Linked DNA regions of Caenorhabditis elegans. The protein of the gene in region 1 interacts with the protein of each later gene in a pairwise test. Each region holds a gene or a part of one and is shown on either strand. Other genes may lie near its edges.

Region 1 (3,336 bases):
TAATAATAACGTAAATAAATTAGAGATCCAAATAGTTTACTGCTGCTGGGCATGAGCTTGAAGTTCATTTGAAAGAGCCATATTTAGTTCCTCCAGTTTTCTCTTCAAGATTCCGATTCCCATTGTCACGATTCGCTGTGCTGGAAGAGCACCAGTTCCTTCGACTGAAACATTTAAAATTATAAGCAAAATATCTGACCGTGACTTACTAGAGAACCAGAACTTGTTAGGCTTGTTGTCCGGCTCGAATGGTGCCTCCTTTTCAGTGCTGTCTTCTGGTAAAGATGAATGATCGCTTCTGCAAAAAAAATGTACGAAATTCACAAAATACTGATAATAGTTCTTACCTTGGCCATTCCTCAACATTCGGATAAATTGTATGTCGGAGAGCATTGTCTGGATCATATTCAAATGCAACTCCACAGGTGGGATTCCATTTTGCATGTTCCTTTCCGAAACCCTTTTTAACATAGGCTTTTAGGTTAAGCTCTTGTCCCTTACGCAATTTTACAATCAGAATCTCTTCTCTGTTGTGAAATTCGTCACGGGTCGATCCACGCTCACGTAGTGCTTTTCCACAAGCTGGTCGGACGGTCTGTAAAATTCCAATTCAAATATTTATCAAATGTAGTGAAGTACGGACCCTAATAAGATTGCTCATCGATTTTATTTAAACGTTATTAATATTATTATTGAAATTTAATTCACTCCATTAAAAAAAAATGAGTTGCATTTTTTTAAATTTACCGTGTCTAAATTATGCATTGGCATTAGATGCTCGGTAGTAACAGCCAAAGTAGCTTCATCTTTACATTTCATCTGCAGAATGAACGGTATCGAACACTCATCGCAGAACTCGGCACATTCACAATCCTAAAACCAACATTTAAAAAGTTGTGAAAGATTCAACCCTATCTTACTCTGGTGTATTGCATTTTTTCGACATGATAATCAGATATGAACGGAATCAAACCCATGCGATGTGCAATAAATTCGTCGTGGAGGACAGAAGTGTTAGTTTCAATTTGAACCCAATCAATAGCTATGGTTGGCACCTGAAATGTAATTAAAAATATAGAAAGAGTAATGGTAAACAGGAAACAACTCACTTCTGCCATGAAAACTCGTCTCAGTGAATTTGCGACACTCAAATCAGTGTCCCACAGTACAAACTTGATTATATCATTTGTCAGTTCGGTAACCTCGATGTTAGGTTGATTTGCGTACGGCATTACTAAAAATGATTATTATAAGGAAAAATGAAAAATCTAATTATTGAATTGAAAACATTTAAGTCGAACAGAAATTCAAAACAAAACGTCGCTAAACAACACGCACATTCGTTATTTCGGAGTGTCGTTTCAGGTTCTCGGTTGGTAAGCGAAGTACGGTAACACTCATTTCAACTGTGCGCTTTTGTCACTGCACAATTTCAAATAATCATTTTTTAATTATTTTTTCGTTTTAAAGTTAAAAATGGTTCAGAGTTATTTCAAATTTTAAAATTTTTCAGATGAACAGATACGATCGTGCTATCACTATCTTCTCCCCTGATGGACACTTGTTCCAAGTGGAATATGCCCAGGAAGCTGTCAAGAAGGGTTCGACTGCGGTGAGTGGTTCCCCTGATGAAAATCAGTTGGCAGAAAATTATATGAGTTGCACTTTCATATGAATATGATATCAGCTAGAATTGAAGCACCCGATTCAAGAAGATTTTAGATCTATTTATCGTTTTATATTTAAAAATAAATCAAAAAATTCAATGTAGATGATTGATATTATCTATCTAAAAATCTAAAATTTCCCGAATTATGGTTCAAAATAATACGGTTATTTTTAAAACCTCAAGTTATAATTATGAATGTTTCAGGTCGGTGTTCGCGGAAAGGATTGCATTGTTATCGGTGTTGAGAAGAAGTCAATTCCAGCTCTTCAAGATGACCGCACAATCCGTAAAATTCATATGATCGACGACCATGTGATGCTCGCTTTTGCTGGATTGTCCGCAGATGCTCGTGTTCTTGTTGATCGTGCTCGTATCGAGTGCCAGTCGTACAAGTTGACTCTTGAAGATCCAGTTACCGTTGCCTATATCTCCAGATATATTGCAAACACGAAGCAGGTATAAATATTTTATTTATGCAAGCATAACTTTTACTGATTTTCAGCGCTTCACACAATCTCCAGGACGTCGCCCATTCGGAATTTCAATGCTCATTGGAGGATTCGATCATGACGGAACTCCACGTCTTTTCAAAACCGAGCCATCTGGAGCTTACTACGAGTACGTTGCCAACGCGACTGGAAGAGGAGAGAAACCAGTGCGTGAATACCTTGAGGAGCAATACAGCGAGGAAAATACTGTCGACGAAGCTACCACTCTTAAATTGGTTGTAAAGTCGCTGGCTCAGGTCGTACCACCAGGATCACAAAATATCGAGATTGCAGTCATGAAAAAAGTTAATGTAAGTGATTTCCACCTGAGATTATTTTCAGTAATAACATTTTTTTAAATTGAAGATGGTCCTTAATTTTAATTTTTTAGGATGAGCTGCAGCAACGTGTATTGTCAACTGAAGAAATCGAGGCTCTCCTGAAGGTTGTTGAGACAGAACGTGTGGCTGCTGAGGCTGAAGAGGCTGCATCCAAGAAGAAGTAGATTCGAACTTTTGTCTTCTGTCCATTATCCGTGTGTATTGATTTCCCAGTTATCTGCTCCCCTTTTCAAAACCTAATTTATTTTATTCATCTTTATTGACGGGAATGAAAAAGTTTTCCCTAAAATCTTCGAAATTCCTTTAAAACCATGAAAAGAAAGAAGCTATATATTCGAAATGACAAGATAATTGTGGGGTTCATTTGAAAAAAAGAGAAAAATATATATAAAGAAAATTCCAATTCGGCGAGCAATGGTTTCTGAAACTTCTAGCTTTCTGAAATATGGTATCCTTAAATGAGATTTGTTTTATAAGTTAACCTACATTTTCGAATAGAACGCATAATCTCTGCAATAATAATCACAGTCATTTTTTTTCCTGAAGTTCATTTTTCATTCAAAATTCTTCGATGAACCGATTGAAGTGGCAGTGGTTATGCAAATTGTTCTATACATTTCCTCTCCCAAGCAGAGGACCTTTTCGGTGAAATTCCGAATAAAAGTGAGCGGTACAAAAAGAGGGAAAGGAGGCAAATTTGAATATATTTCATTTATAAGCCTTCAAAAGTCTCCTCCTAGACTTACAAGATGCCATTGCCCTACGGCTACTTTTTTTTTCAAATATTAGATCTATTAATTTTATTAGATCTATTAATAAGATCTAATTTTTATATAAT
Region 2 (6,296 bases), on another chromosome or scaffold:
ATCGTATTTGGGTAATAATAAAAAATTAAAAACTTTCAATTCTTCCAGATGCGAGCTTCTACAAGCCGACATTCTCGACCCGGAATCCGATCTTCCACGTGGCACATTCGACGTGGCTGTCATTAATCCTCCATTTGGAACAAAAAATAATGCAGGTAAATATCCAACGATCTCCTAAAACGTTACAATATCTTAAATTTCTCAGGAATCGATATGCAATTTGTCCAAATCGGTCTTCAAATGGTTCGGCCTGGTGGAAGTGTATTTTCACTTCATAAATCATCAACTAGAGATTATATTCTAAAAAATGCAAAGAAATGGGACGGAGTTGGGGTTTGTTTTTAAATTATTCTAAAATTAGAAAAAAAAATATTGAGTTTCAGGCAGAATGTTGTGCAGAAATGCGGTGGCAACTACCAGCGACTTACAAATTCCATAAACAAAAGGCCGTGGATATTGCCGTCGATTTAATACATTTCAAAAAACTGGATAGTTAATCTCATCAATTTCTGCTGTAAATTCTTCAAAATTGTTTCATTGTTTTGTTATAAAAAATATGCAATCAAGATATGTGAGAAAAGCAAAGAATTCTCTAAACTTTTCCAAAAAATAGAAAACATGTTCAAAATGGATCCGTTCAGAGTGGGAAGTAAATACATAACAAATGGGGACCTAAACTTTTTCCTAAACCTTGAGAAGGGTAAGAAACAAGAAATCACAATAAATAAAGAAGCTCTATATTAGGGAATAATTCATTAGAGAATGATTGGATTAGTTTACAAAGCAGAAGGAATGATCGGAAAGTTATAAATATATATATATATATGTTAAGGGCAGTGATGATTAGAATATTCTGATGTGAGAGAATGGGAGATGGGACAGGAAGAAATTATATAAAAGTGTGAATTTAACCGTATTCAAGCGAGAGAAATGTAAAAATATAATAAATGTGTACAATATTCTAGAAAAATATGAAAATTCCCAGAATTTTTGTACATTTTCTTTGTAAGTAGATGAGTACTTATAGCCGAATCTTCTGTTTGTCACGACGATCCTTTGCACGCCTGCAATTAAAAATATTACAGTATTATTACGGAAATTAACAATTTATCAGAATATATTGAGATCAAAAAGATGCCGTCCCAGTGGTGAATTCAAAAAAAATACGCTTTTCAAAGAAAAGGGATAGGGAACATCAATCTTTTGGTTTATATTCCCTTTCTTTTAATGAATACAATGACCGGTATGGTTCGTCCGTATGTTACCTCTTCCCAGGAAAACGGCGGTCACGTCTGTCCAACACAGTATGTATGTCTGTTTGGATTGGGACGCTACAGGAAAGGGACACACACATTGATTTCCATTTTACAGCACTCTGGGAATCTCTGCCGACGACGTTTCTATTCCCCTCGTAAATCTTTCGATGCGCACTAATATTGTCAAACAAGGCAACAGACAACAAAAAAAACGACTGTTGAGCAGATAATTGGTATATCTCTGCGAGCTGGTCAGAAACCCTTGCTTTATCATTTCTGTAGACTCTTTCATTGAGCTAGAACCTCACCTAATTAAATAAAGGCAAAAACTTGAAATTTGGGGCATTTTGAGTATATTTTTTTGCAAACCTACAAACGATACTCTCCCTTTAACATGCGAGTGAAGGAGATTAACAGTAGCACTTTACGGGAAGTGTTTTATCCCAATAACTTGGAAATTCGCACTAGATATCCTATTCCCTTGTTAATTTCCAAATCCCCGAACGCGTAGATAGCCACACATGCAAGCAGTGACCACCTCTCTTCTACAGTAATACCAATTAGAAAGTCGTAAACGGACCAATTAACAAACTTCATCTCTTCCTCACCTCCACCAGCACGTCTCAAACACTGTGGCCTCCAATTACACAACTTTACGACTCTTTAATTCCTTGGAACTATCTCTACTGCGCGCGTGGACTGAACTGAATCTTAAAGAACGAAAGTGTGGTGGTACTTTTTCCTATGGTTACAGTAGGAGGTGACAGTCATTGTGATGAGTCCCCTGGAAAAGCCTGAGAAAGAGTAAGCAAACAGCAAACAGCAAACAACGTATTTGGCTCGAAAGGGCGCGGAATGAATGAATTCAAATGAGATTTGCAGAGGGCAACATCATCTGTTAATTAAATGACGTTGTGAAATATGTGTCAATATTTGAAGTCTAATCTCATGATTCCAATAAACCAAATTAAACTTTCAGATCTATTAATATGACATCTCACACCATAACAATCCCAATTTGCCACCTCTCATCATATAAATTGAGGTCACTCTAACACTCTTTCACGGCTAAAGACTCTCCTGCTACCTGCCACACGGGTCGAATTGCGTAAGCACCGTAACTCATACACCGCATCACCTTTACCGCCTTTCATCTCTGTGCCAAATCAAGAAAACTTGATATTATTTTGGTGTCTTCAAATTTGTAGTAATCAATCATCCCATTTTAGGCAGTGAGTTTAAAAAAGAATCTACCTATTTTGAAACCAAATCTTGATTTGTCGTTCTGTCAAGCTTAACATCGTCGACAATTGGGACTTGCGATCTGATGTTATGAATGGCGATGTATGGAATTCTTTTTCCAGTTCAAGGCGTTGATAATCCGAGTAAACCATACGGTATTTGTCAGCTGTTCGTACACGGACATCTGAAAATAAGTTTAATTACAAACTCCCTCGTAATAAAATGGGAAATTGATGGGAAAGGAATCATAAATACTCAATTCATTTGTCCTAGTTACTGATAAATATGACTGATAGCGGCTTCTTTTTCACTTGAAGAGAGATTGTTTGCACACGGGGAGACTCTTTTGAAAACTTACTATTCGTTCCAGGTCCCGTTGGTAATGTTTTCCCATCACTGCTTGATCTTCGATCCTTTCCATGATTGTTTCCAAGAGGCATTTTCCACGAGAATCCCTGAAACTTAAATTATCTTTAAAACAAGCTCACTTGGAGGAGAACTAACAGATCAAAAATTGGCTGCTTTATTAGACTTATTAGACATTATTAGAGATATTTATTAGACAAGTTACCACAAACGACAGAATTTCCTAATTTTATGGCAGCTTAAAATATCGAAAAGAGCCAAAAATGCTGAAATCTAAAATTTTATCAACTTATCCTTGTCTAGTAGCTGAAATACAGTTTTTAGTAAGTTTTCATTTTTCATTGCATATTTTGGTAATTTATCTCGTGTTAATTCGTTGATTTAGGCGCGTTCTAAGCCGATAGGCACTGAATTTTTGTAATTTTTGGAAGTAGACTGCTTAAATCAATGAATAAACGCGAGTAGCCGTACCTAAAATATGCAATAAAAAATAAAATTCAATAAAAACTGTACCAACAATTTAGAGTCATAAAAAATGTGAACAGTTTTTGAAAAGTCTCGCTAGGAAATTATGTTTTTTGGTGTTATAAAAGCCAACAAAGGTATTAAAATACAATTTTATATGATTACCTGTTGATAATCCATAAACGGCCAAACAGATTGCTGATAACACGTGGCAGCTCTCATCTGGTAGTTGGCTGCAGCAGCAGCAGCTGCTGAAAGCTCTGAAGAAGATGCAGCTCCAGATGATGTTGATGGGAACGGTGTCATCATATCACTCGGTGATGGATACATTCCACTATCACTACTGCTACTTCCATTCGAAAGCGGTGGCTTCACATCAACGGCTTCTACTGCTGGAATTTGTCCGTTGGCAGCGAGTTGTGGAAGGCCGAATGGATAGAGATCCGGATGTCCCTGGAAATTCAATTTTTAAATAAAAAACCTTAAGGAAATTCATTCAAAACGTACGTAAAAACCAGTATCACCCATTTGTGACCACCTTCCATAGATTTGTGGATCAAATGTTGGTTGCAGCATCTTTTCTCTGAAAAAAGAAAATTAAGTATAAAATGAAAAAAAAAAACAAGAAAAACTTCAAAATATAGCACCTCCTTAATCAAATGTTCTTGTCAATTGATACACACACACACGCCTATTACCTCTTAGACACCCTCCCGCTTCATTCCAACGGTGGAAATGGGCGGAGCAATGTCTTCCAATACACTGTGGAGGCGGGGCGTTACCGTACCCTCCGGATAGATCGAAAATTTGCATATAACCTTTCAAACAAATTCTATCATCAAAAAGGCGACAATATTTGAGAATAAATACATGGTTAGCAAATATTTTGAAGGAGATAAATAAGAGAAAGGGCATGGATTTACAACCATGTGTGTGTGCTGGATTATTAAATATTTATGGTATTTAATTTTGTTCACTTGGTCGTAATGAAACACCAACAGGAAATATTTAATTTTTCGTTGATTTTGAGATTCCAAATAAAAATTTCGAAGATCTAGCCTCAGAGGATGTGGTTGCATGAATGGCATCATTGGATAGTGAGGCCACGTGACATCTGCTGGAACTGTTGTTGGTGAAGGTGTTGATGAGGACTCGTTTTCCGAAAAATCCGACTTGACATCGACCGACATTCTGAAAACGAGGAAGTAATTATCAGTTTATATAGAGAAAAGTGAACAGTAATAAAAATTCAAAATTTGAAGGAAGATTTTCGAGATTTGATGAGAATAGCAATAAAATAACGAGCTGGCAACCCGGCACCGCCTCCTGCGGCTCATTGAGCACTTGGGAAGGCGGGATTTATCAGATATGAACGGGAGAGGGAATTGTGAATGATTTATAGCCACACGTCGATTTTCAGACAAACATATCACTTTTACAATGAGACAGGTCGGCAAGGAAACAAAAACGCCCAGTTCGTTGGGAAATAAATTATTGGTCTGTGCAGGAAACTGTCCGAGACTGTATTCGAAGATGGATTTTCTTACTTTAATAAAATATGCGTTTTTAGAATTGATTTTTAGCATTGAAATTAGCAAGACAAATATAAAAGAAACGTTAAAACTCAACAGAAATGAAGAACAGAAAAAAATTAACACTGAAAAATTTTTACTGACTGATCAGCTCAATAGAGCGCACTTTCCACTTGTCGATTTACGAAGATTTTTATTTAATTTATTGTTCAATAGTTAACTTGCTGTTAAATATCTTTTTATTTAAATAAATATTTTAAAAATTATAAAATTTTGAAAAAGATTAGAAAAAATCATCTAGCCAAAAATTAAGAAAAGAAGAATTTTAGCCACTAAATTTAATTTCAATGAGATCCCGCCTTTAAAATAATTTGAAAAATAGATCACTCACCTCATATTTGATCTACTCGCCCAAATAATAGTAAGTCTACCGGCCATTGAGCCCATCTGGAATTGAGGTTCCATTACGATGTTCATTAGGAAATAAATGAGCGATGAAAGTTTAATTGAGTACGATACGAATGAGCATTTATGACTGACAGGTTCATGTGGAGCAAAGATTACGGTAGCAGAGAATTATTTCTCTTATCAGAAACGAGTGATCTATTAAATAGTTATTCTAAAAGTTGGAGATTCTTAACAAAAAATGTTGCTGAAATCGACAATTTGTCCTCCAAAGATTTGATATAAAAGGCAACAATGAGACCGCCCTTTGACTGATTATGTACCTTCTTTCAGAACATTAAACATTTACGATCTGGGAACTCTGCAGCTGTCATGAAGAACAACAAATGGAGCATCTGAAAATATCAAAGAGTCGCTTACTACTCGATTTCATGCACTATCAAGTTTGACCTGAATATGACCCGGCTGTCTGTTGCGTAATCGTTTTGCTCTTTGTGCATCTATGATACCGCCGTGAGAAGAGCCGCGTCTCGTATTTATTGCCACCCACTGTTGGGAATAGTTAGATAGCTGGTAGGAGAAACAAGATTTATTTACTATAAAATTTATTTGTATCAAAAAAGCTTAAATTTTAAAACAAAAACGAATATAAATTAAAAAAGAAATTTAACACGAGGTCTGCTTTATTCGCAGTGACCTTCTCGCCCCAAGTTCGCCGGCGTGGTTGTTTGAAAAGTGATCCACGAGCTGCTCCTTCGTCTGGGAAACTTCATTGCAGGTCCTGCATCGGAAGCTCTTGAATTTTTCAAGATCCTGAAAAACAACTTCAACTAATTTTTTATAATTTTCAGGCTTACCTTATCGTACTGAGATCCTTTCCCCACCAGCACTGCACCGATGAACACATTATCTCTGAAACTCTCATTTAAATTGAAAAAAAAAACACAACTAGAATTACCTTTCAGCAGATCGTCCATGGTTTCTGTTTTCCTCATCTCGAATCTTTTTCAACTCCTTTGCAGCATCAACA

Evidence for each region. Proteins that work in one complex are often made in the same cells at the same time.
Region 2: the proteins of pas-4 (region 1) and pal-1 interact in a two-hybrid assay, tested with the Caenorhabditis elegans proteins (one study listed by BioGRID).

What each region holds. Positions count from the first base shown.
Region 1 is NC_003279.8:8,726,665-8,730,000, reverse strand, and holds pas-4 (Proteasome subunit alpha type-7), read left to right. Parts: upstream 1-1,513; coding exon 1,514-1,612; intron 1,613-1,873; coding exon 1,874-2,125; intron 2,126-2,171; coding exon 2,172-2,468; intron 2,469-2,548; coding exon 2,549-2,662; 3' UTR 2,663-2,783; downstream 2,784-3,336. Other genes in the region: rpb-3 (DNA-directed RNA polymerase RpoA/D/Rpb3-type domain-containing protein), read right to left, coding at 37-164, 210-298, 348-595, 748-873, 921-1,055, 1,110-1,232. UniProt on the Caenorhabditis elegans protein: The proteasome is a multicatalytic proteinase complex which is characterized by its ability to cleave peptides with Arg, Phe, Tyr, Leu, and Glu adjacent to the leaving group at neutral or slightly basic pH.
Region 2 is NC_003281.10:4,804,190-4,810,485, forward strand, and holds pal-1 (Homeobox protein pal-1), read right to left. Parts: upstream 4,521-6,296; 5' UTR 4,520-4,520; coding exon 4,389-4,519; intron 3,913-4,388; coding exon 3,837-3,912; intron 3,783-3,836; coding exon 3,495-3,782; intron 3,171-3,494; exon of another isoform or gene 3,022-3,170; intron 2,960-3,021; coding exon 2,857-2,959; intron 2,683-2,856; coding exon 2,511-2,682; intron 1,065-2,510; coding exon 1,022-1,064; 3' UTR 520-1,021; downstream 1-519. Other genes in the region: rRNA N(6)-adenosine-methyltransferase metl-5, read left to right, coding at 49-155, 206-333, 384-497; C38D4.7 (C2H2-type domain-containing protein), read right to left, coding at 5,933-6,079, 6,124-6,178, 6,225-6,296. UniProt on the Caenorhabditis elegans protein: Transcriptional activator. Interacts with promoter regions for tbx-8.9, tbx-9, elt-1, hnd-1, scrt-1, and vab-7 genes. Binds the sequence ATTTATGAC. Binds to the enhancer region of the hlh-1 gene promoter during embryonic body wall muscle development.